Schizosaccharomyces pombe: one gene and its partners. The protein of the gene in region 2 interacts with the protein of the main gene of each other region in a biochemical or structural test. Each region holds a gene or a part of one and is shown on either strand. Other genes may lie near its edges.

Region 1 (8,062 bases), on a different chromosome or scaffold from region 2:
TATTGACCAGTCGATAACAATGCCTCTAGTGGGTTTCTAAACGTAGTAGGTTCGTCTTCAGGTTCAATGACTTCTGGGTCAGGATTCAAAGCACCTTTCGACATCTGTGCGAAAGATGTGGATGGGCTCTCACGAGCAGTTAAGTCAATATGTTTTCTAGCATTTCCACGTTTGTTAGAGCGGCGTTGAGCAGCCAATAAATAATCGTTCAATTCGGCCAACTCGGTGCGAGAAAGCTCCTCATCAGAAACACTAGCTTGAGAAGACGTTTTGCTTCTATTTGGTAGCGTATTAAGCTCAGCAACGTCTGGGCCACTTTGTTGTTCAGGTGCATTGTCGTTTTGAATAAATATGCGAAATGGTTGAGATTGTTGAGCACCTGCGTACTCTGATGTAGAGTATGGGCCAGTTTGTTGGTCAGCGACTTCAGCTTGGGATTCCGAAGACTCTTCAGGAGAATATATTGTGTCTACGACTGGATGATGAATAAACATTTGCTGGAAATTATTTGGCACTACAAGCTGCATATTGGGTGAATCGGAGACAAGTATTCTGCGTAGCAACTTTCGAGCCGCCTTTTCCCTGCGATGAGCTCTTTCACGCTCCTCATCCTCAAATCGCTTTCTGATTATAGTCCGTACAACATTTTCAAAAGCTCTACGCTCTTGCAGTTGCTCCAAATAATACTCTTGCAAACGAGCCTCTTGTTCCCGTTCATGCAAGTATTGACGGAATTTTCGATGTTGAATTTGCTGGAGCACTTCTTGCCTTGCATCCTCAATTGCCTTCTTTCGCAAAGCCAATTGTTCTTCTTGGCGTTGAATCACTTCGATTTGTTGATTCAGCTCTTCTAAGGCCATTTGAAGGCTGTGGTCTTGCACATTTTGATATTCATTACCATGTACATCTATAAGATGAAATAAAGTCGCCATTATGCTACGATTCTCTTCCTAGTATTTTTTTTCAGAACGATATGTCAAGGAAGATGGTGTGTTGAAGAAGAATGAGCGAACCGCGATGTTTACTCATTTATGTCATACTATGGTGTTGGCACCGGAATGTACCGGAATCATCCATTTCATCCATGAACACTCCAGCAACACCTGGAAGTAGTAAATCAATAAAAACGTTAAAATTGCCTTAATTAGTCTGATCAATTAATTTTTTTTAATTTGTAAGCACCATTTCGTTCTTCGTGCTGAATAATCAATATATGTCTTTTTTAACAGAATCAAGCGATTTGCAGAGGAAGACGAAGACGACAATTGACAATAAATGTATTATATAAAACATATCTTTGACATCCTTTCACAATTTCAAGCATCTGTACTTCGTGAAATGGTGCATGTATGTGGTCGATAACTGTTTTCTTTTCTTTTTCATTGTACGACTTATCCACGTAAAATGATGGGATAATAGAAGTTTGTTGTTGCTATCCAGTAACTAGTAGTAAAAAAAAGTTGCATAGCTTGCATGTAGCTAAGCTACACATTTCTTCAATGGAGTGGTGACTTTCCTACGTTATTAAAAGCTTAGTTTCAATGGATTAAAGATCACTAGCAGACAAGAATGTAAACAAAAGAAAAAAGAAAATTCGTATTGCGTGATTAATTACATATATAACACTCGAAAAGTATATCATTTTTTTTGGAGCATTTCGCGGAGATGTTTCTCTCAAGCAAGGTAAATGTATTCATCGCGGCCTTGGCGTTCCAGGTACTCTTTTTCGATTAACATATCTATACATTGCTTAATATCAGACACTTTAGGAGTAAATCTGCTTTTAATTTGATCAATAGTCTCTTTCACTAACACTACATGTTTCAATGTTCGGCGAGCCTTCATGATACGGACGATAGCGGATTGAAGCAGTAACTTTCGATCTTCTTCTATAGTTTTATGAGTCTCCAGAGATTCCTGCTTTTGCTCAGATCTAATTGGGAGATTTAACTGTACCCGTATCTTTTTCATCCTAAAATTTTCATTGATCTTATATGTGCTATTAGGATCACCAAGCTTGTCATTGTCGCCAAGGAGAAGCACCTTTGCTTTTAGGAATATGTTCAGAATCCCTGTCAAGAAATCTGTACTTAACCCAGTTATTTTTGCCAGCTCCTCATATGTATAAGAATCGCGATGGTTGTACAAAAGCAAAACACCCATTTGATATGTAGAAACTTGAAACACATAAGTGACATTAGTTTGAGGGTTAATGCGTGCCTTTATTTCTCCTTTAGAGAGATGGAACAACCAGCTTAACTTCCTTCCGTTATGGCAGCTATAGTAATAGTTTTGGAATCCTTCATACAAAGGAACTAATTCCTCTGGCAGATGAAAGTTCACATTGTTGGGAGATAGAGGCCAAAACGATGTACCAAGTACAAGAGCAGAGAAATCTATATTTCCAGCACGTGACTGAGGGAGTTGCCAAAACGCTTCGGTAATCTCTTGAGACAAGGAGATGTCTTGAAACATACGCTGTAGCTTACTAGTATATTCAAAACCGCAGACTTCCTTTAACTTAGATAGCATGCTAGATTCAGCATCCTGGGAATTAGAGGTACCATTCACAAGTCGCTTGGCTAAAAGCTTAGTATAAAAGTTTTGAAAAACATCCTTGTCTTCGACATAACGAAAAATAATGATAATCGACGATAAACAGTCTTCAACATCATCAATGTCAACATTCTTGTTGCTTTTTCGCAAAATACTGTCGGCGTATTTAGCAAGCAACTCTGGGGAGCGAGAGGAAGAGCGCTGGCAAACAACATTTCGATTGACAAGTTCTCTAAAGGCTGTATCCAATGACTTTGTAAAATCAGTATCCCCATGAAATGCGGTGTTAACAAGTTCTTTGGAAGCTTTATACGTGGAAAGTAACATTTCCATATACTCTTTAGGATCCACATCGGCTTCTCCACCGACCTGGGGAACAATTTTGGCAACCGCAGCAAAGCCTGATCTCTTGACAAACTCCTCAAATGTCTGGCGTAAAGGCTGCAACCCATTAGGTGTTCGAGACATCAATCGGTACATGCGAATGATATCCTCACTGCAGTTTTGGTCGAGCATGCGTGCAAAGTCGTTGTGCAAAACTTCTTCATGTTGTGCAATTAGTACATCTTCAGTCGCTTCTAAAAGCGGCTTCAATGTGGATTCATGCAAATATAATCTCACAAGCTCTTCCTCCTCTGCTAGTCTTATTTCTGCCTTTTTTAAGTAATCCGTAATAGAATGGGAAGCCAAGTATTCGGAAGACTCCTTTGCATAAAAGTTTTTTGTATTTTCAATAAAGTTTGTTTCGAAAAAAGTTTTGTATGAGCTCAAGTTAGGCTTTGTCATATCGGTTTTATCAAAGCTCAATGAAGTGATAGAATCCACACAAACTTCCACATATTTCATATCAGTAGGTTCATATAATCTTTTTTTGGTGAACATGTATAACAAATTTTGAAGTAGGCTATCGCGAATGTGGGAAAAAACGTGATGATGCCATGACACAAGACAAAGTGTGTAAATGTCGTACACGAGTGTCTCAGTAAATCTGTTCTTCAGTTTAACCCAATATCTATTTAAATATCCAAAAAGATGGTTGATAAAACGGGCAGATGTTGTAAATCGCGTCCAATACTTGGCATACGCAGCGAGTTGCTCTTCATGATTCGTTTGCGAAATGCATTCCTAAAGCGCCAATTAGCACGAGAAAAATTACCACATAATGCAATTTATTCCTTAATCATAATAAAAGACCAGATGCTTATGCTAGCACTCTTTAAAATGTCCAGAGAAAATGTTTAGAAATTAAAGAAAACTGCTGAACACTCGAGGTGCAATGAAATCTTTGTCGTAGAATTATAAATAAAAAACCGATATTTAAACTCACCTTTCGCAGACGGGCCAAATACTCTTCCAGATATAGAACCAAATTATTGTAAAGGGCTTCGCCTAAAACGTTTGCAGCTAGCACATACAGTTAGAATCCAGTGAAAATAATCATAAGAAAATATATGTAGTTCTTCTTTTTGACAAATTCTGAGTCAAAATATAAATTTTTATCTATTTTTTACGTACTTTGATCGTTGAAATTGTCCACCGTTATAGTTTTGGACGCATCAGCACAGTAGTTATGGATTGCTCTAAAAATAAAGTATGTAAGTATATAAATATAGGTGCCATGAAATATCTGATAACTAATATACTAGTATTCAGATCTCAAAATATTGGACTAACTTACGTATAAAGCTCCATATACTTAGTGATAGTCATTCCTTCATCTAGCCTTTCAAATATTTGGGACACACCTGTTTTTAAAAAGTCCCAACTGCATATAGATCAGCAATCGTCAATCAGTTACAATGTAACATACGTTCCATTCAATGAATCATATTTTTTAACAATCGGGAGGTCTTTATCGTTGGTATTCAAAGTAGTCATTAACCAAAATGGTTATAAATGTATAACAAGTAAAATATATTTTATTCAGCACACAATTGCTCTTTCTTAGATGGCAGATAGAGTAAACGTAGTAAATAGTAGCACTGATCCTTTCAAGAACCTACAGGTAACGACGAAGTGAACGAAGGTACAAGAGGTAGCCAGGTGTACGTAGCAAAAGCTCATTATAAAAGTGCTTTATAAGATTATATTTAATATCTAATTTTTTTTTAAGTAAATAATTATTATATTAAAAAATTCTTCATTAACGCATTTATTATTATGAAAACAAAGACATAAAGCCAATATTTATCAACATATACATGAATATGCCAAAGAAATCCTTTAAATTTGAGTTATTGTTCTGCCAAAAGAATGATGTATGCGATCCGCTGGATATTGAGTGCTCGATGCAAATACACATATGGTGTAAAAGATATCTCTGACAAGTGTATAGTAATATTGTACTAAATGAAAATCTCAAACCCATGAAATATTTACAAATGTTGAAAAGGGTTTAATTTGGACCTCAAATAGGTTGACATTTTCAATGTGGCCAACATAACAGGATGCTCTTTCATAGATGTTGTAAAACAGAAATACTTTTCCTTCTCTTTCTCAAACGCGCTACAAATTACCTCTTCATACCATCTTTTGAGCACCGCCATCTATTGTTTACCATCAGAGCCTCATCCTCAAACAATTCTGAGTGCCGTTAACGGTAGCCAATTCCTAAGTAAAATTGTCGCAAAATGTTGATGCATCAAAAGCGGCCTCAAATTGAACTTTTTATCATTTACCTACTAAAATAAAAGTAATAGAATGCGCTTGGATACGCACGTTTGGAGTCTGCTTTCTATATTCACTTAGGAACAGACGAATTATTATTAATTCTGAATAAGACCAAAAATTATTCTCAATTTCATAACTAATTAGCTTCCTCCTTTATCACTTAAACTTGCTTGCTTTATTTTTTTTATTTTTTTTTACAATTTAGGTGTTTTTATATTCGTAGAATGGCAATAATGAGTTGAAAACATTCCATTCTTCGCTAACCACCTTTCCCCCTTTAACGCGTGGCCAGCATTGTTCTACTTTGCTCACTTGACTATTTACTTACATATTTTTTTGTTTAGTATTCCAATACAATCAAAATATCTGTAATTTGTTGAGATTCTTTCTAAAAAACAAACATAATATCTGTTTCTCTCTTTTATTTGCTATTATATCCCATTTTCTCCGTTTTTATGAACCTTGAACCTTCAAGTTTCTATGTAATTATTCAATTTCAACATAAGAAACTCTGCAAAAAAGCTATTTACATCACTGCTTCGTCTTTTGAATTCCAAAATTTTTTCTAGAAACTATCCGCTCATCTTTTCTTTGCAATCCATCATCAATTTCCACACTAATAGTCAAGAGTGTTTATATACTGTGATATTAAGAGATATATTTTAAAGTAGTAATCCATAGTCATTATACAATCTTCTTATTATTTTAGGCCTTTCTTCTTTCTTTTGATTTCTCTCTCCATAATTTTATCTTAATCGACTTTTTCTCAGTTATCTTATTGGGGGAGGATAACTAACCTTTGTCTCCAGTATTTACTTAAAATTTCGTTATAAATAAGCTAGTTCAGCTTGTGCTATTCAAACCGCTGTCTTTCTGCTTTCCTGTTTTTTTCTGTAAACAAATCCTCTTTTTTCTCAAAAAAAAAAAAAAAAAAAGAAAATACTTGTTTTATGAACTGACCAAACTTTATTTCAAAAAAGTTACTTGGACTTTTAAGTCATTAATTTGGCTTTTGTTTTTAATTTTTTTTTCAACACTTGGAAGGTTAACTATCCATTTTAAAATCCTGTTCCTTTTATTAATCTGTAAAAAGAATACCTAGTTGTTCTTTCATTCAAGTCTTTTTAAACTTCCGCCGACTTTGCCTCGCTATTGTCCGCAAACAACCATTTGGAGTTTGCCTAGTCCTATATACTACCTTTCCGTATTTCCACCTTGGTGAGGTACACCAGCGTTCCAAAATCGCTACAAGTATTCATTCTTTTGTATTTATTTTTTAAATACTTTGTGCGTTTACGCGAAAAGTGCTTTCGAGCACTTTACAAGAAAAAGGAAAATTTTCAAGTGAATTAGCTTTCGTTCTCGAGATTGAGGCTCATCATCTTTTTCCTTTAGATTCTTTTTGTTTTTTGTTTAACGTTTTTTTTTTTTTTTTACTTGCTGGAAGTATTTTGAAGACTATTTGCTGTCACAACTCAGCGAAGACTTTTTGTGGTTACGTGTCTAAGCGCGAAATCTTCTTTAACTAAGCTTTCTTTTCATTCATTTTTGTTCTTCTTTCTTGGGATTTAACTGGTTTCGTTGGATTTATCATGTATAATGTACGTGGCGATTTAAATCGCAAAACCCCTTCGGATGGTAACGTGAATGAGATTGGTTCTATGTACGCTTCGAGAGACACCAGTACTTCTTCTTTCACAAATCCCACCGATTCCTCTACTCGTCTGTTGTACAACAATGCCTCCAACGCTACATTTAGCAGTGCAGCCTTGGCAGCCGGTGTCGGCGGAACAAGAGCTAGTGGCTATACCCATAGATTCTCTATTAGACCCAGCTCTCAGACATATAATAGATATCCTAACGGTGGAAATAGCGCAGGATCAGATATGTATTCTACCTCACCTCAAAACAATAGCATAGTTGATGATATTGAAAATATTAATAAACTGGAGGCTGTTGCTTTTGCCGGTCCTACCGCTGGTGAATCCGACTTTTCTTTGAGTAGAGAAGATAAAGAAATTGACGATTTTCTCCATTATCCTTTGCCCGCTAAAGATGCTAAAAAGTTAAGTTATTTCGTAGGCGGAGAAGGATTAATGCAACTCTTGTTTCTTCTCTTTTTAGCTGCTGGGACAGGTATGCTGTTTATTGGATTACCCATTCTTACATACACGGGCCATAACTCACTTGCTAGTACTCGTGTTACTGGTATTACAAATCATCAATTTCGGATTTTACGTTTATTACGTTATGGAAGCTTGATAGATCCTGATACCCCCGAAAGTGCTTATACGTTTGATTCTCAGGATTTAGGTACTCTGGATCTTGTTTTTTCTGATGAATTTAATTACCCTGGTCGTGCATTTTATGACGGCGATGACCAATTTTGGTTAGCAACTGACCTTCATTACGCTGCAACTACCGATTATGAATACTACGACGCTGATACGCCCACTACGGCAAACGGAACACTTCGTCTTCGTATGGATGCGTTTTACAATCATGATCTTAATTTCCGTAGCGGCATGGTTACCACCTGGAATAAATTATGCTTTAAGGGTGGTAGAATCGAGGTATCTGCATCCTTAGGAGGCTCCCCTTATATTCCTGGTTTTTGGCCAGGTATTTGGACTATAGGTAATTTGGTTCGTCCAGGATACCTTGCAACATCTGATGGCGTCTGGCCTTATTCTTATAATTCATGTGATGCCGGAATTACTCCTAATCAGTCGGATCCTAGTGGCATTTCATATTTGGGTGGACAACGCTTAAACCAATGTGTTTGTAAGGGTGAAGATCATCCCAATGTTGGTACAGGTCGTGGAGGACCTGAAAT
Region 2 (8,354 bases):
TATATGTGTGCTGTTAAAACGGTTAGCAAATATTTCCATGATTATGTTTCGCTGTTCACGTACATATACAAATATGCTTTCTAATTCCGACTTCAGTAGTTCTAAGAAGACAAGAGGATTGGGTAAAACGGTCTTTTCGGCGGAATGATGAACTTTGGAAGCAGTCCACCGCATACTGACAAATCCATGAGCGAGAGCTGTGAATTGATATTAGAAAGCAATGAATAGTTAAGGTGTGTCAACAAAAATACATACCCAATATCTCCAGCTGTGCAATTTGGCCCAAGTAGAATCCATTAGGCCAATCGTACACAAGCATTCGATGAATAATGCTGCGTTTGAGCATGCTCTTTGGAACATTTTTATAAAATGCTTCGGGATTCCACTCTTCATCGTCCAACATATCTTCTAAATTGATGTCTTTGGCATTTGGTGGGTATGTTTGCTTCTGAATCCATTCTACACACAATTTTACTAAGAAATCCCTAGGAAATCGATTTAATAGCTTCTGGATCTTCTTGTCATGCTTGATTCGAATATTACTAGACAATTCAGTACGCATAGCGGTCCTCCTTTTTGAATATCTTATGTTTACGACAAGGAGCCACAATATATCAATCGTTACCGTGGACTAATTTTTTATCCTCTCAAACACTGATCACTAACGAAGGATTTCAGATATATTTGTTTTGTTAAATATTAATGTTACAAAAGAATGGTCTTTGAGATCATTTGGCAGCACCAGCTGTAAGCAAATTTAACTCTTCCCAAGTTCTTCTAAGGCAATGGTTTGGATGGTGGTGAAGGGAGTCCTTGCCCAGATTGCAGAAGTCTTGCTGTTTTCTCGGCAGCTGCTCTATTAGCATGATATCGAATTCGCATTTGGAAAATATCTCGATGAAGATTATAGTGTTTGGATTGGGTCTGTGTTGAACATTCTTTAGAAGATGAGGAGGAGGAGTTGATAGATTCATTCTCGGCAGACGCCGAATCTACATCTTTCTCCTTCTCTGTCTGCTGCACTTCTAAATTTGGTTCCTGTTTTGATTCTTGTGGATTACCGGTCGCATCCTTCTCTACGTTTTTTGACTCATCCTTAGCTTCTAGTTTGTTGGTGTCGATTTTGTTAGTCACTGATTTAATCACGGAAATTGGTGTAGCAAAACCTCGATCTTGCAAATGATTGTAGCAAACATAAAAACTATTTTTATTTTGTTGGTTAAAAAAACTTTTTCCTTCCCATTAAATTATGTATCAACTCAAACCATGAAGGTTTTCACAATGATTACTTACAAATCTAATTTAGTTTTTGTTATTAATACCCATTTTGTAGGCTTGTAACACTAGAAACGATAATAGTGTATTAGAAAATGGTGCTTCATCAAGGTAATGGGCAATTTTTAATTGCTGTTGTTTCTTACAATAAAGCATGGTTTTTTATCTACTTCTGAAACTTGTCTCAATGTATAGAAATTTTCAAATTTATTGGACATCGGCATTTTCTTCAACATTACTACTTTATATTTGAGGTAAAGAAGAGAGAAGGGGTGAATCGCCTGAATTACACTCACACATCAATTTATCTAATAGACGGTTCAAGCACCACAGAATACTTAATTTATTTAATTTATAACTAAAATAAAAATAAAATACTCAATCTATTTTATTGATTTTTTTTGCAATTGCCCAAACATTGTATAGACAACTAAGCAACATGTTGACTTTTTTTGCTCAGATCAAAAAAAATAAATAAATAAATAAAGGCTTTAGTGCAACGTACACCCACATATACATATTCAATTAAAAGGCATGTTAACAAAACTTCTTATTGAAAACCTTCCTCGGACAATGAATACAACTCGTAAAGTCTATTCAGCCTATTGTAAAGGGAAGGTAAAATAAAACACTGGAAGCAATTCCAAAATTTTCTATTGATCAACTTGTTTGTTCATAAAAATTGTAGCAAGTAAAAGGTGGAAACCTAAAGATGGAAAACATTGCAAAAATCAGTGATTTAGAAATGAAACGCATAAGTAATGACAATACAAAGATAAATAAATATTTAGAAATGATAAAGAAAAGGGACAAATTCTTATCAACAATGGAAAAATGAAAAAAAAAAAGGAAAAACGAGTGACCGGATAAACCAGCAATGTACAGCAACAGCATAAGTGGAATCTTATACCCAGATACCTTTATCTAAAAGGAATAGCAAGTTAAAAAATAAGCAACATTGTGCAAGAAAATAACCAGCAAGCAACATAATAATAATAAGGAACCGAGAACCAAACACATATAATAATAATAATAAAAGACGAGCCTCCATAAATAACACACAAACATCCGTTCATACCTCATCTCTCACGACTATATGAGGATGCAAATGAACATCTAAAGATTTACAATGACAAAACTTGACTCAAAAAAATAACCATCTGAACAATCCGATAAAACTTGTATGCTTGAAACACGGAAATAGCGGCAAAAAATGGATGAAAAAAGCAATGCGATGCAATTCGATGATGAAGCAAAAAATAAATCAGACATCCAAACTTCACTTCAAAGCAAGTTGCATTTTGGGAGACAGAGGAAATTAATGAATCTCAATGGATTGTTGTGTATGTTGTATAGCTGCGGTTTCCGGTCTCGGTACGATTGAGGGTGGTCTCTGAAGTATCGAGGTTGGAAGAACAGAAGTACTAGCGGTCTTTACCTTTATTAATGATGGCCTACGAACTGGTGAGGAGTTGGGCTGTGAATCGAGCTTTGGATTTGGTTCCGAATTGGGATGTGTGAGCGGCAAAGATTCCGACCTTGATTGAGGTTGCGAACTGGGCATAGAAGCTGGCAAAGAATGCGGTTGGGCCGAATCAGAAGTAACAGCGCTTAGCGTAGGTAGCTCTAACAACTCTTCCGTCTTGCATATTTTAGAAAAGATCTTTTTATCTTTTTCAGGATCGGTATGCGTTTCTGAAGGCTTGGGTACCTTGGAGCCATAAGCAGCAAGTAAAGAAGTAATGACCTCCATTAGTGCCTTGCGAAGACGCACACTATCGACAACAGAATGGTCCAAGTTCATGTCCACTTTGGGTACATAAGGCTTTTGCAATAGACGATACATGAGGATACGAGTATTCTCGCAAACATGAAGGCCGCAATCACAATCATTAATTTGTTGTGGAGTCTTCATGTGTCGGACACGGAATTCCTTTTTAAGGAGAATGCCAAGGTTTTTGATGGCAAGGTTGCAGTCATTGGTATTACCATTGGACATGGAGTCATAGTACCAGCCCAAACCTTTTTCAACGGAGACGACTAACAAACTCCAATGCGAGCCGCTCTCGATACCACACTCATTGGTATCGTTGATAGGAAGAAAGATAAACGATGCATCAAACATGGCAGGAGGTAAGGCAGACTCGATTTCCAAAGGATTAGGAGCCTGGGCCAAAAAGAAGACCATAGCAGGACGAAGCAAGTATATTTGTTGACTCTCCTCCTTGGGACGTTTGAGCAAGACTTGACGCAACATAATTTCGTAAAAGAAATCGATGTTTGTATCAAGGATCCAATACCCAGGACGAAAGTGGTCGACGTCGTTTTTGCGAAGGGAAACCTCGAAATATTCAAGCCAGATGCGCGTAAACGGGGAACCGCAAGACTTTGATCCGCTGCTGCTGCTGCCAAACAAGGAACGGAAAAAGCCCTTTTTCTTCTTTTTGGGAGAAGCGGTATCAGAGCCATTAGAATTGGAAGAGCCGGTGGAGGGAGGACGTAAATTGCTAGACTTTTTCACAGCCTCGCTGTCGATTTCCTTTGTGAAAATGGAATTGGAGCGCATTTTTTAAAAGTGGAATATAGGACAGTGGGAGAAAGAGAAAAAGACGAATACAAGTTTTTAGAAACGCGTTTTTTACCAGGCAGGTAATAAGAAAATAAGCACTTTTTTATTTCTAAAGTGAACAATGGGAAAGAACGAGAATTGCAAATGAGAAAGGAAATAAAAGGAGAGTAAAAAATTGAATGAAAAGAAGAAAGAATTGGATAAATAAATATCGAATTCTTTTTTTTTCACAGAGTTAGGAAAAGACAGTATGAACAAATAAAAGGAAAAAGAAAATTAGAAACTAAAAGAGAAAGGTAAAAAAAAAAGGCAAAGCAAAAACAAAAGAAATAGCAAATGGAAAAACTTGTTGTTAACTGGGAAGTTTTCGAATGCAATTGGGCAAGCAAGCAATTAGGAAGCTTGAATTGAATTGGATTGGATTGGATTTGGATCGAGGATAAATGAGTTTGGAGGGATAAAAGATGATGAGATGAAACCAAGGGTTGCAACGGGAAAAAAAAGGAAAAACGATTAACGGAGAGTTGGAGCGCTAAGAAGGAAGAAAAAGGAGATAAAAAAAGCGCAAGGAAGAAATCCGAGAGAATCCAGATGGAATAGAATTGAGAGATAATTTGAGGTAGAGACGAGTCTTAAGTTGGTTACGAATAAAAGTAAAAGAAGACGACGTCGAGAGAAGGAGGAGAAAAAAAGCCTTTAAAAAAGGAGAACGTGCAAAGTAAAAAGTAAAACGGGAAAAGAAAAGCAAATCAAAAGGATGCAGGGAAAGAGAAAGAAGAAAAGAAAAAGGAGGAAAAATGCCAAAAATATGAGAAGGAAAAAACCAATAGAGAAACTTCTATAATATAAAAAAAAACAATTCAACCACCTCACCAAACAATGTGGAGAAAGAAAAAAAGAAAAACAAGGATTAGAATAAAAATGGTGAGAATGAATGTAGTAGAAATTGTATAGAGAGAGAAAGACGAACGAACAGTCAGCAGAACACACTCACACTTGTACACGCACGTACGCATACACTCGCACACTCACACACACACACACCTACAGAGAGTAGAGAAGAGAGTTAAAAAAAAAGTGTGTAGTAGTGAGAAGAGAGGAAATTAAGTGGTGAGTATTGTGTAGAGGAAAGAAGTTTTCTGAGCAATGAAAAAGCAAAAAATGATGAAAGGAGTGTTCAGAAAAGGAGCCGGCAATGACCGTCCAACACGTACTTTTGTGGTTGGCAAAAAGTTGGGGTAAAGGGCAAAAAGACAGACCCAGAATGTGGAGGTGAAGATGGAGATGGGTGGAGAAGACAGGTAACAATAATATGGAAGAATAGTCGACGGCGGGGGGAGGGGGGAGGGATGCCGAGAAGGGGAAGAATGATCAAAAGATGACACCAATATAGCGTAATCTAGTGGACTGGGGAGAGAAGAGATGAAAAGAGGGGAATAGTGAAAAAGAGGGTGGTGTGTTAAAATGAGAAAGATGAGAGAGAGAGAGAGAGAGACATATCGTCTAGTGTAAACAGAGAATAAAATCCAAGTGAAACTATAATGTGTGAAAAGGTTTTTTTAGAAAATTAATTATCAAATAATACTTTCAATGACTTTTCGATACTCAAATATCGCGCATACTCTTTTTATTTCCATCATGTGTCTCTTCTCCATCCCTCTATGTTTTTCTCTCTCTATATTTTTCTTTCTCTCATCTCACTCCTTATCGTTTGCTATCCACTGCTACGCACCGCTTTCCACTTCTTTGCATTGCGGTTGGCCACATAAAGTTGACATGCAATATTTTTTTCCTTGGTCTCGAATTCTCAGGCCGACATGGGTCGGCCGAGCTCTCCTCTCAAAAGGAGGGGTAATTGAAATGCTGGGCGGGGAAGCGGGGATGCTCGGCAAATGATATGCGGTTGTTGTTTAGTGGTAAAAAGGGGGGGGGAAAGGGAATTTTTTGGGTGGGGCGAAAACTAACAAGAATCGCAAGGAAATTTGGACATTGGAATGGAATCGGAGGTGAAAAGAGTTGAATGATGCCAGTGATAGCAAAAGTAAAAAGTAATATATGTTACTATTTGTGTCAAAAAAGATAGAATAGGCTTGGAAAACAAGACAAACATTCCAACACAACTCATCTTTCACCCACCCTTTTTTCATTTCCTTTCCTTTCATTATCAACATTAAACAATCCATTACTTCTTATCCGATTGTGACGAAATGAGGTTGTTGTTTTGTTTGTGTTCTCCCTCTCATCTCTCTTTCGATGATGTAGTTAAAAAATTAGAAAAAGAATAAAAAAAACCTAAACGTTAATCGACGGTTTAAACGAGTGAGACTGGACTTCGCTTCTTTTCTTACGCATTACCAAACTTTGATAATGGTTGCTGTAATCAATGATAGTTGGGTCATCCCCTTTCCCACCAGAATAGAGTTGATTTACCGTTTTCTACGCAGCGCTTCAAATTTCGAATTAAAATTTTTGGTTTGCCACATTATGTTTGTTGCCTGTGGACGTGGATGGGTTACTAGGGAAAATAATAAAGCAAAAACACAAACATTCGTAAAATGCGGAGTCGGTAGATTCGAGGCTTTTGCCTTAAGTTACGTTATGACGTTTAGCAAATGGATAAGGAAATGGAAATGAAGATGAAGATGGAGATGAAGCAAGATGAAGGGAGAAAGGGAGAGGGAGAGGCAAGCATGACAAGTAAAATCTCTTTCTTTTTTTCTTTTTCTTTCTTTTTTCTTTTTTCTTTTTCTTATTTTAAATAATGTAGAGTTAAGCTCTATCTTGTTTTTACTGTAAATGAGTTTGTTGTATGGTAATGAGGGATCGCTATAATGTAATAAAGTTTTGGTTTTGTGTTTCACTAATTTTTAAAGCCGTTGGTTTACTGTTTCACTCTAAATGTGTTTGACTATAACCATTGTAACATAAATAAAAATAAATCACTGGCTAACAAAGTAAAATCCAAAAAAAAAATAAATAAATAAAAATTAAATAAAATAAAATTGAATAAAATCAAAATAAAATTGAATTAAAATCTAAAAAAATAAAATAAAAATCTAAATGTAAATGTAAATTCAAATAAAAATCCTTCTCAAACTTGCTTCCTCTCTCTCTTCTGATGTTTTAGCAATGCACAATAATAGACACTGCATTTACAAACTCATTTCGATCCTCCATCCTCAATCATTACTAACTATTTATTTAATCAAATTAAATTATCTATTTTTATTTTTGGGGTTTCATTTGATATTTTAATTCATTCAATATTTGCTAATGTATTTATTTTTCGTTGCGTTGTAATCCTTATTCACTATTCAGTTTGTTATTATTCAGTCATTTATTTTCTTTTTGATTTTCCTTTTAATGATTGATTCATAAATTATTATTATTATTATTTTTAAATTTTTTTTTTTTTTGCCGCTATAATCATTAATATATTATTCTACTTTTATTGTTTCTTCTTCCTTGTTTACCTCTCCATCTATTCCTTTTACTCGCGACAATGGTTTGTTTTCCTTCCATTCAATCTCCATCCCTTTTCGCTTTATTCAATGTTGTTTCTCGTTTGCACTTTGCTAGTCCGTCGCTTCTTTTTTTATTGCTGCGACGTTATTTTATCTACGACCAATATTTATTACTCTTGATAAACCACTCTTTTCCTACTCTTATACGCCATCAATGTTTTCCTTATATCATGATCACATTATCCATACTATTTACCACTGTATTTACCACCGTATGTATACCGCTGATTCCTTTAAACAATATTACTATTAAAACAATACTATTATCACTATTTACATTATTATTCCATCCTACAATTGATATCACTCTACTCTTTTTTGATATTACCCAAACTTTCATATTATCATTAGTTTTCTCTTTCCAAGACCGATACCTTCTTATTACAGTAATATTCCTCCTCATATCATCTTATTCTCCTTTCCTTCAACCCAATCTTCCTTCACTGTAGCTTTAGCTTTCCTCGCTAGCCTTCCTTAATCTCTCCCCCTAAAAATGTTGGTCCTCCACCATCCATCACTTTTCCAAGCTGCCTTTTCCCTTTTCCAAGACTGTACGCGCTTTTTAAAGCAAATTTGAATCTTATTTATGCGCGTACTGTAGCTGAAAATCCTCTTTCACTTCCTACACTTCTCATTTTCTTTCATCACCCCATTGTTTACTTACGCGTCTACATTCATCCTTCCTTCATTTCTTTCCTCGACATGGCAGGTTCATTGTCTTCCGCCATCTTCAATGTTCTCAAATACAGTGGTATGGCTTCCTTAGCCGTTACCCTCATTGCTTTGGGCTTCTTGTACAAGTACCAAAAGACCCTCGTTTATCCCAGTGCCTTTCCTCAGGGTTCTCGTGAGAACGTTCCAACACCCAAGGAATTCAACATGGAGTATGAGCGTATCGAGTTGAGGACCCGTGACAAAGTCACTTTGGATTCTTATTTAATGCTACAATCCGAGTCTCCTGAATCTCGTCCCACCTTACTCTACTT
Region 3 (5,940 bases), 870 kb from region 2:
AAGGCATAAACACCGTTCTTTTGAGCAATATCAGAAAATTTATCTGCATTAACAGCAATAAAAGATGCTTTCTGATTTTGTTCGCTTAATTTTTCAAGAAACGGTTTGAGGTATTTGCAAGGACCGCACCAGTCTGCATAGAAATCAACGACGGTAACTTTGTCAGCACTAGTAGCAATTAGCAAGGAGATCTATTCGAAAAAGTTTTATCTTTTATTTTTTACTATGATATATTATTGACTATACATACCTAATTCGAGTATTGTAATCGCCAAACGATTCAACTGCGTTCACCTTTCTCAAAATACGAGAGCTAGTAAAACTTCTGCGCAGAGCAAAAGATCTCATATGCGGCTTTAAAGAGTTTGCAATAAATCCACGCATTTGAATTATAATTTTGGTTGACGGTTTTAATCAAAAATTTAAATAGGTGAAATTATAGCACTTAGTAAGCTAGAACTACCGCCAGGCGGAGAAAAGTGCTTAGTTGCGATCATAAACATTACTCTTTAATACAATATTTTTTAAATTATTACAACATTAATTCAATAAAAAAAGATTAAAAATTTGGGAAACCAATAAAAAAAATTATAATTTAGCATCATTTTTCCCTCTTTATTATATTTTATTAGAATCCTTATTGGAAAATAGAAGCTTTCAAAAAATCTGTAGCCGAACAATTTGAGAGATTTTTTTTTTTTTTTTTTTTTTTTTAATAACTTTAAAAAACACCTAATGAAGTTTATAAATCCTTACCTTTGTTGATTAAACTAAAGTTACTTTAATTTGTTCTTAAATATACAGCCCAAAGATTTTTGGATGGATTTTTTGTACTCACGATTATAAAAACTAGTACTTCAATCTTAAGATTACATAAAACTTCGAAAATCCGGTTATCAGAATTAATTTGAAATTAAGAAAGAATATCATTTTTTTTTAATTTTTATAATAGTAATTTGGCTTTATGCAGACTATTTATAATTAAATGAATCTCTCTTGCTTTTAAATAGAGCAGTTCCTTAAAGCCGATGTCACTTTCTCATAAACAAAAAAAATTTAAAACTTCTTAAATAGAAAAATGAGAATCAATACATTGAAATGGCAATTTATAAGCATATTGATTATACTTTCCTCCTTAAAAATGTAATTTATATAGATTTACATGTATATTTCCTTTATATATGTTTAAGTGGCACCCCTATCAATGTGGCCGTTTGGTCTAGTGGTATGATACCATCTTAGGGTGATGGTGGTCGTGGGTTCGATTCCCACAACAGCCCATGTTTTTGCTACATAGCATTTTGCAGTTAGTTTTATTTAAACAACATTTTCTTTTAGTCTTACTAGAGATTTTGCGTTTATGGTAATTACATTCGATGTTGTACTGAGGAAGTTTTGCTTCGCATGCTACTGCTTTATATACTTTGATATCAGATGGGAATGCGCAAGCAATTGTTGTTATATATTGACTTTTCTGTGCAAAACGTCTCTTTACGACTACTTTACTCATAAATTAACAAGAAGTAATCAATCTTATCGCTGAAATTCATGATCACCAAAACGTCTTAAGTTTAGAAAAGCTTAAGCAATATTTTTATACAAATCAATAGATTCACATAAAATGAAACAGAGCAATAATAAAGCGACTCAATTCTCATTTCGTTACTCTTAGTATTAGTAAAACAGTAAAAAGATTTCGTTTATAGCGTTAAATAAAAGTATGATTTTTTATACATAATTTTTCTTTATAAATAAAGTATGCAACAACTAGCAACTTCCTCCACGAAGAGCTAACACAAGATGCAAGACGCTGCCTCCTTCTAAATGATAACTTTCAGCATTTTTATCATCAGCCCTACGTGATGTTTGTTAGAATCATTGTATGGATGTTCCCATAGTGCTTACATTTGCTTTCCAGCGTAGATCAGACGCTGCTGTGAAGGAGGGATACCCTCTTTTTCTTCAACCCGTTCTTTGATCCTAGAAACCTTGTCATTTGGATCAATGTCTAATTCGATCTTATATTTTGGTTAGAAACATAGATGAATTATAACTGCATATAAATGTTTTCAACATTTAAAACACGAACCTCTTTCCCTGTCAATGTCTATGATTATATATTAGTATACATAAAAAAGAAATAAATTTATCTTACTTTTACTTTGATAAGCATGCTAACTTTTATAAACGCTTTTCTGAAATTGTTGTGGTTAAACGCTAGCAGTTCCTCTCTCTCCCTATAAGCATTCCCCTCTGGCTCACCTCGCGAAAAATTGAATTGGTCTTCAAAGAGGGGACAATGAGTTTTCAGAGTATTAATATAGATAAATGGCTGTAAGTTTTCAATTCTAAAATAAAAATTTTAGGTTCTGCTACATGTTTAACCTGTTCAAAAATTTTTATTATCTAAATGATACCAGGATTTTGTCAAATCAACAATTTACAAGCACTAACATAAACTAGAAAGAACGCCGTAGCTGCTCAAGGATTTAAAAAAATGACACCCGTTCAGGCTAATGCCATACCATTATTTTTGAAAAATAAAGATCTGGTAGTTGAAGCAGTAACGGGTTCAGGCAAGACTTTGGCCTATTTACTTCCTTGCTTCGATAAAGTCACTCGTAGAGATACGGACGAAACAGGTTTGGGTGCATTAATTGTTGCACCTACTCGTGAATTAGCTACACAGATATTCAATGTTACCAAAGAGCTTTTGGCGTACCAACCAGACTCTTTGGATGGAGGGAAAAAACTCGTTGCAGATATGTATATTGGGGGAAAGGGAACGCTCACGAATGATTTAGCTTCATTTCGGGAAAAAAACCCCTCAGTGGTGATTGGTACACCCGGTCGATTGAATGAAATGCTTTCTCATATATCCAGTAAGCATTTGGAAATACTAATATTAGACGAAGCTGATACCCTTATTGACATGGGATTTCAGCGTACATTACAATCCATTATATCTCAACTTCCGAAACAACGTCGAACTGGGTTGTTTAGCGCAACAATGAATGACACTGTGTCATCATTTTTAAAAATTGCTGGCCTTCGAAATAGCGTACGTGTTTCTGTGACAGTTACATCAAAAAAAATTGATACAAGAACACCGTCAAGTCTAGCTATACAATCTTTAGTGATTCCTCCCATATACAAAGTACAATGTATGATACATTTGCTTTGTACGATCGAATACGAAAAAGCAATTGTTTTTTTTTCTTCTTGTGCTTCTGTTGAATATTTTAACTCCCTTTTTCTCACTTATAAATTACCGTTTGAAATAGTAGCTTTGCATGGACAGCAAGTTCAGTCGAATCGATCACGTAATTTTGAAAAATTTAAGAAATCAAATAAAAAAACAGTTCTTTTTACAACTGACATTGCTTCCCGGGGTCTTGATATTCCAAATGTTGACTTTGTTCTTCAGCTCGACCCGCCTTTGGATCCGAAATCTTTTTCTCATAGATGCGGCAGAGCTGGTCGCGCTGGTCGAGCGGGTGTTGCAATAGTTTTGTTAAATGATGGAAGAGAAGAAGAATATGAGGAATTGTTAAGGGTTAGGAAGGTACCTATTACTCGTATAGACACTCCAATTGAAGCTTTAGATCTTTCACGACTTAAAGTATTAACCCACGAATTGAGAAAAATCGTATCCAAAGACAGAGATCTATATGATAAGGGATTAAGAGCGTTTGTTTCACATGTTCGTGCGTACACAAAACATCATGCGTCGTTTATTTTTCGTATCAAAGATTTGGATTTGGGACAGTTGGCCACGGCATACGCTTTATTACATCTTCCAAAAATGCCAGAGTTAAAAGACACCGAAATATCCGAAAATATTTTTAAAAAATTTGACATTGATTATGCAACCATACCATACCGTGATCAAGTACGCGAGCAGGCCAGACGACGCCGATTGGAAGTCGAAAAAACTGAACCCAAAAAATTAGCTCGGCCAGCAAAAATTAAGAACGAAGCTTGGTCCAAACAAAAGGAAGTAAAGGAGAAGCGTAACACCCGACGTGAAAAAAGGAAATCCAAGAAAGAATTTTTGAAGGCACAGAAAAACGAAGCTTCTAATAACCTGAAACAAGAAATAGTATCAAAAGCTGGAGCACAAGAAACGGAAAACGATGACTTAATAGATGAGGAATCGGATGCTTTATCTGAATTAGAAGAGGATTACCGACAGTTGAAAAAAAGCAAAAAAAGAAAAAATCAAGCATCCTTTGGATTTAGTATGTAGCAATGTATTTTTAGGGAATGGAAAAAAAAACGGGGTTTTGGAAATATAGGAAAGTCTTTTAGTATTTTTAAATATTTGAGAACTTGGAAGATTAATTGGAGTTGTTCAGCAAATATTAAGTTCTTATTCATCAGCATTTATTTTTGAATTACTGCATTTGTATATTTACTTTACATTTACAACGATTACTTAACAAATTTGTGAAAAATGCAATTAAGCGTTTATCTACACATAATTCTGCGATCAATTTGATATTTAAGAAGTAAAATACTTTAAGCAACTGAAGCAGTAGATACATTCAATAAATTTAGATTACATTTCCACAATTAATTCCAAATTTTTTTTACTAAAATCTGGTTAAGGATATCATATATATATTTTACTAATTACTTATAGTGCTGTCTACGGCCATACCTAGGCGAAAACACCAGTTCCCGTCTGATCACTGCAGTTAAGCGTCTGAGGGCCTCGTTAGTACTATGGTTGGAGACAACATGGGAATCCGGGGTGCTGTAGGCTATTCCTAACTTTTTGCTAGCCTTATTGCAATAAGGAGGTCAACTCAGTTATTTATTTGGACGAACCCAGCGCCTATTTCGATTACTATTGACAAACTACTTCTATTGGATCATTTATTTTGCGATTCTGAAATTTTTTATATGCTTTTGTATAAAAACACCATGTTTAAAAAATGCTACAACATTTAAGGAATCGTGCATCGATTGAAGTGCTAGGGAAAGCGATACGTAAATACAATGTCCCGGAATCAGCGAATCAGTTACTTATAGATATGGGGTTTATCCAGCCGTCTATGCCTGGAATTTTTCAATATTTACCTCTGGGGTTGCGTGTACAAAATAAAATATGTGACTTGTTGCACATATCAATGCGTTCTTTGGGTGCTTCAGCGATCAGTTTGGCACATCTTTCTAGTAAGGAGATATGGGAGAAAAGTGGAAGATGGCAAAAGACTGGAAGTGAACTTTTTCGTCTTCATGACCGAAATGACAGAGAAATGTGCCTTGCTCCTACCCATGAGGAAGATGTTACTCGCACTATGGCTACAATCATAGATTCTCAAAAGCAATTACCGATACGTGTTTACCAGATAGGTCGAAAGTTTCGGGATGAATTACGTCCGCGAGGTGGTCTTCTTCGCGGTAGAGAGTTCATGATGAAGGATCTTTATACTTTTGATATCGACAAAGCATCCGCTATGAAAACTTACGAGGATGTTTTGCAAGCATATCATACTTTTTTCAAAGAAGTGGGATTGCCATTCGTGATGGTGAAAGCTGCTACGGGTAATATTGGAGGAAACTTATCACACGAATTTCATTATCGACACCCTGTGGGAGAAGATGTAATCTATACATGTCCGTCTTGTCATTATTCAACAAATTCCGAAATGCTTGATTTGTCTAAAACATCCAGTGATATTTCATGCCCTAATTGCAATGATCAGCTAACTTCAACTACCGCGATTGAAGTAGGACATGCCTTCTATCTTGGAAAAATTTATTCCTCCAAATTTAATGCAACGGTAGAAGTAAAAAACAAACAGGAAGTCCTTCATATGGGATGTTATGGAATCGGTGTTTCAAGACTTATAGCTGCAGTCGCTCATGTAACCAAAGATGCAAAGGGTTTAGTGTGGCCATCGTCGATAGCTCCTTGGAAAGTACTAGTTG

The links. Proteins that work in one complex are often made in the same cells at the same time.
Region 1: the proteins of nep2 (region 2) and cul1 form a complex in vitro, tested with the Schizosaccharomyces pombe proteins (one study listed by BioGRID).
Region 3: the proteins of nep2 (region 2) and ned8 form a complex in vitro, tested with the Schizosaccharomyces pombe proteins (one study listed by BioGRID).

Annotation. Positions count from the first base shown.
Region 1 is NC_003424.3:3,608,496-3,616,557, reverse strand, and holds cul1 (cullin 1), read right to left. Parts: upstream 4,502-8,062; 5' UTR 4,435-4,501; coding exon 4,367-4,434; intron 4,322-4,366; coding exon 4,235-4,321; intron 4,137-4,234; coding exon 4,072-4,136; intron 3,961-4,071; coding exon 3,884-3,960; exon of another isoform or gene 3,682-3,883; coding exon 1,675-3,681; downstream 1-1,674. Other genes in the region: protein slt1, read right to left, coding at 1-932; ghs2 (glucosidase), read left to right, coding at 6,819-8,062. UniProt on the Schizosaccharomyces pombe protein: Core component of multiple cullin-RING-based SCF (SKP1-CUL1-F-box protein) E3 ubiquitin-protein ligase complexes, which mediate the ubiquitination of target proteins.
Region 2 is NC_003423.3:1,449,594-1,457,947, forward strand, and holds nep2 (NEDD8 protease Nep2), read right to left. Parts: upstream 5,080-8,354; 5' UTR 3,842-5,079; coding exon 2,594-3,841; 3' UTR 1,738-2,593; downstream 1-1,737. Other genes in the region: kinetochore protein Mis15 , read right to left, coding at 1-10, 64-197, 256-562; SPOM_SPBC32H8.01C (uncharacterized protein), read right to left, coding at 778-1,201, 1,294-1,343, 1,422-1,511; SPOM_SPBC32H8.15 (uncharacterized protein), read left to right, coding at 5,435-5,740; bem46 (palmitoyl-(protein) hydrolase), read left to right, coding at 8,071-8,354. UniProt on the Schizosaccharomyces pombe protein: Protease that catalyzes two essential functions in the NEDD8 pathway: processing of full-length NEDD8 to its mature form and deconjugation of NEDD8 from targeted proteins such as the pcu1, pcu2 and pcu4 cullins and other proteins. Has a role in meiosis.
Region 3 is NC_003423.3:2,318,084-2,324,023, forward strand, and holds ned8 (ubiquitin-like protein modifier for cullin Ned8), read right to left. Parts: upstream 2,213-5,940; 5' UTR 2,174-2,212; coding exon 2,156-2,173; intron 2,108-2,155; coding exon 2,090-2,107; exon of another isoform or gene 2,019-2,089; coding exon 1,906-2,018; exon of another isoform or gene 1,856-1,905; coding exon 1,768-1,855; 3' UTR 1,675-1,767; downstream 1-1,674. Other genes in the region: thioredoxin Trx2, read right to left, coding at 1-168, 251-384; ATP-dependent RNA helicase Spb4, read left to right, coding at 2,300-2,334, 2,464-4,249; SPOM_SPBC24C6.03 (proline--tRNA (Pro) ligase), read left to right, coding at 4,941-5,940.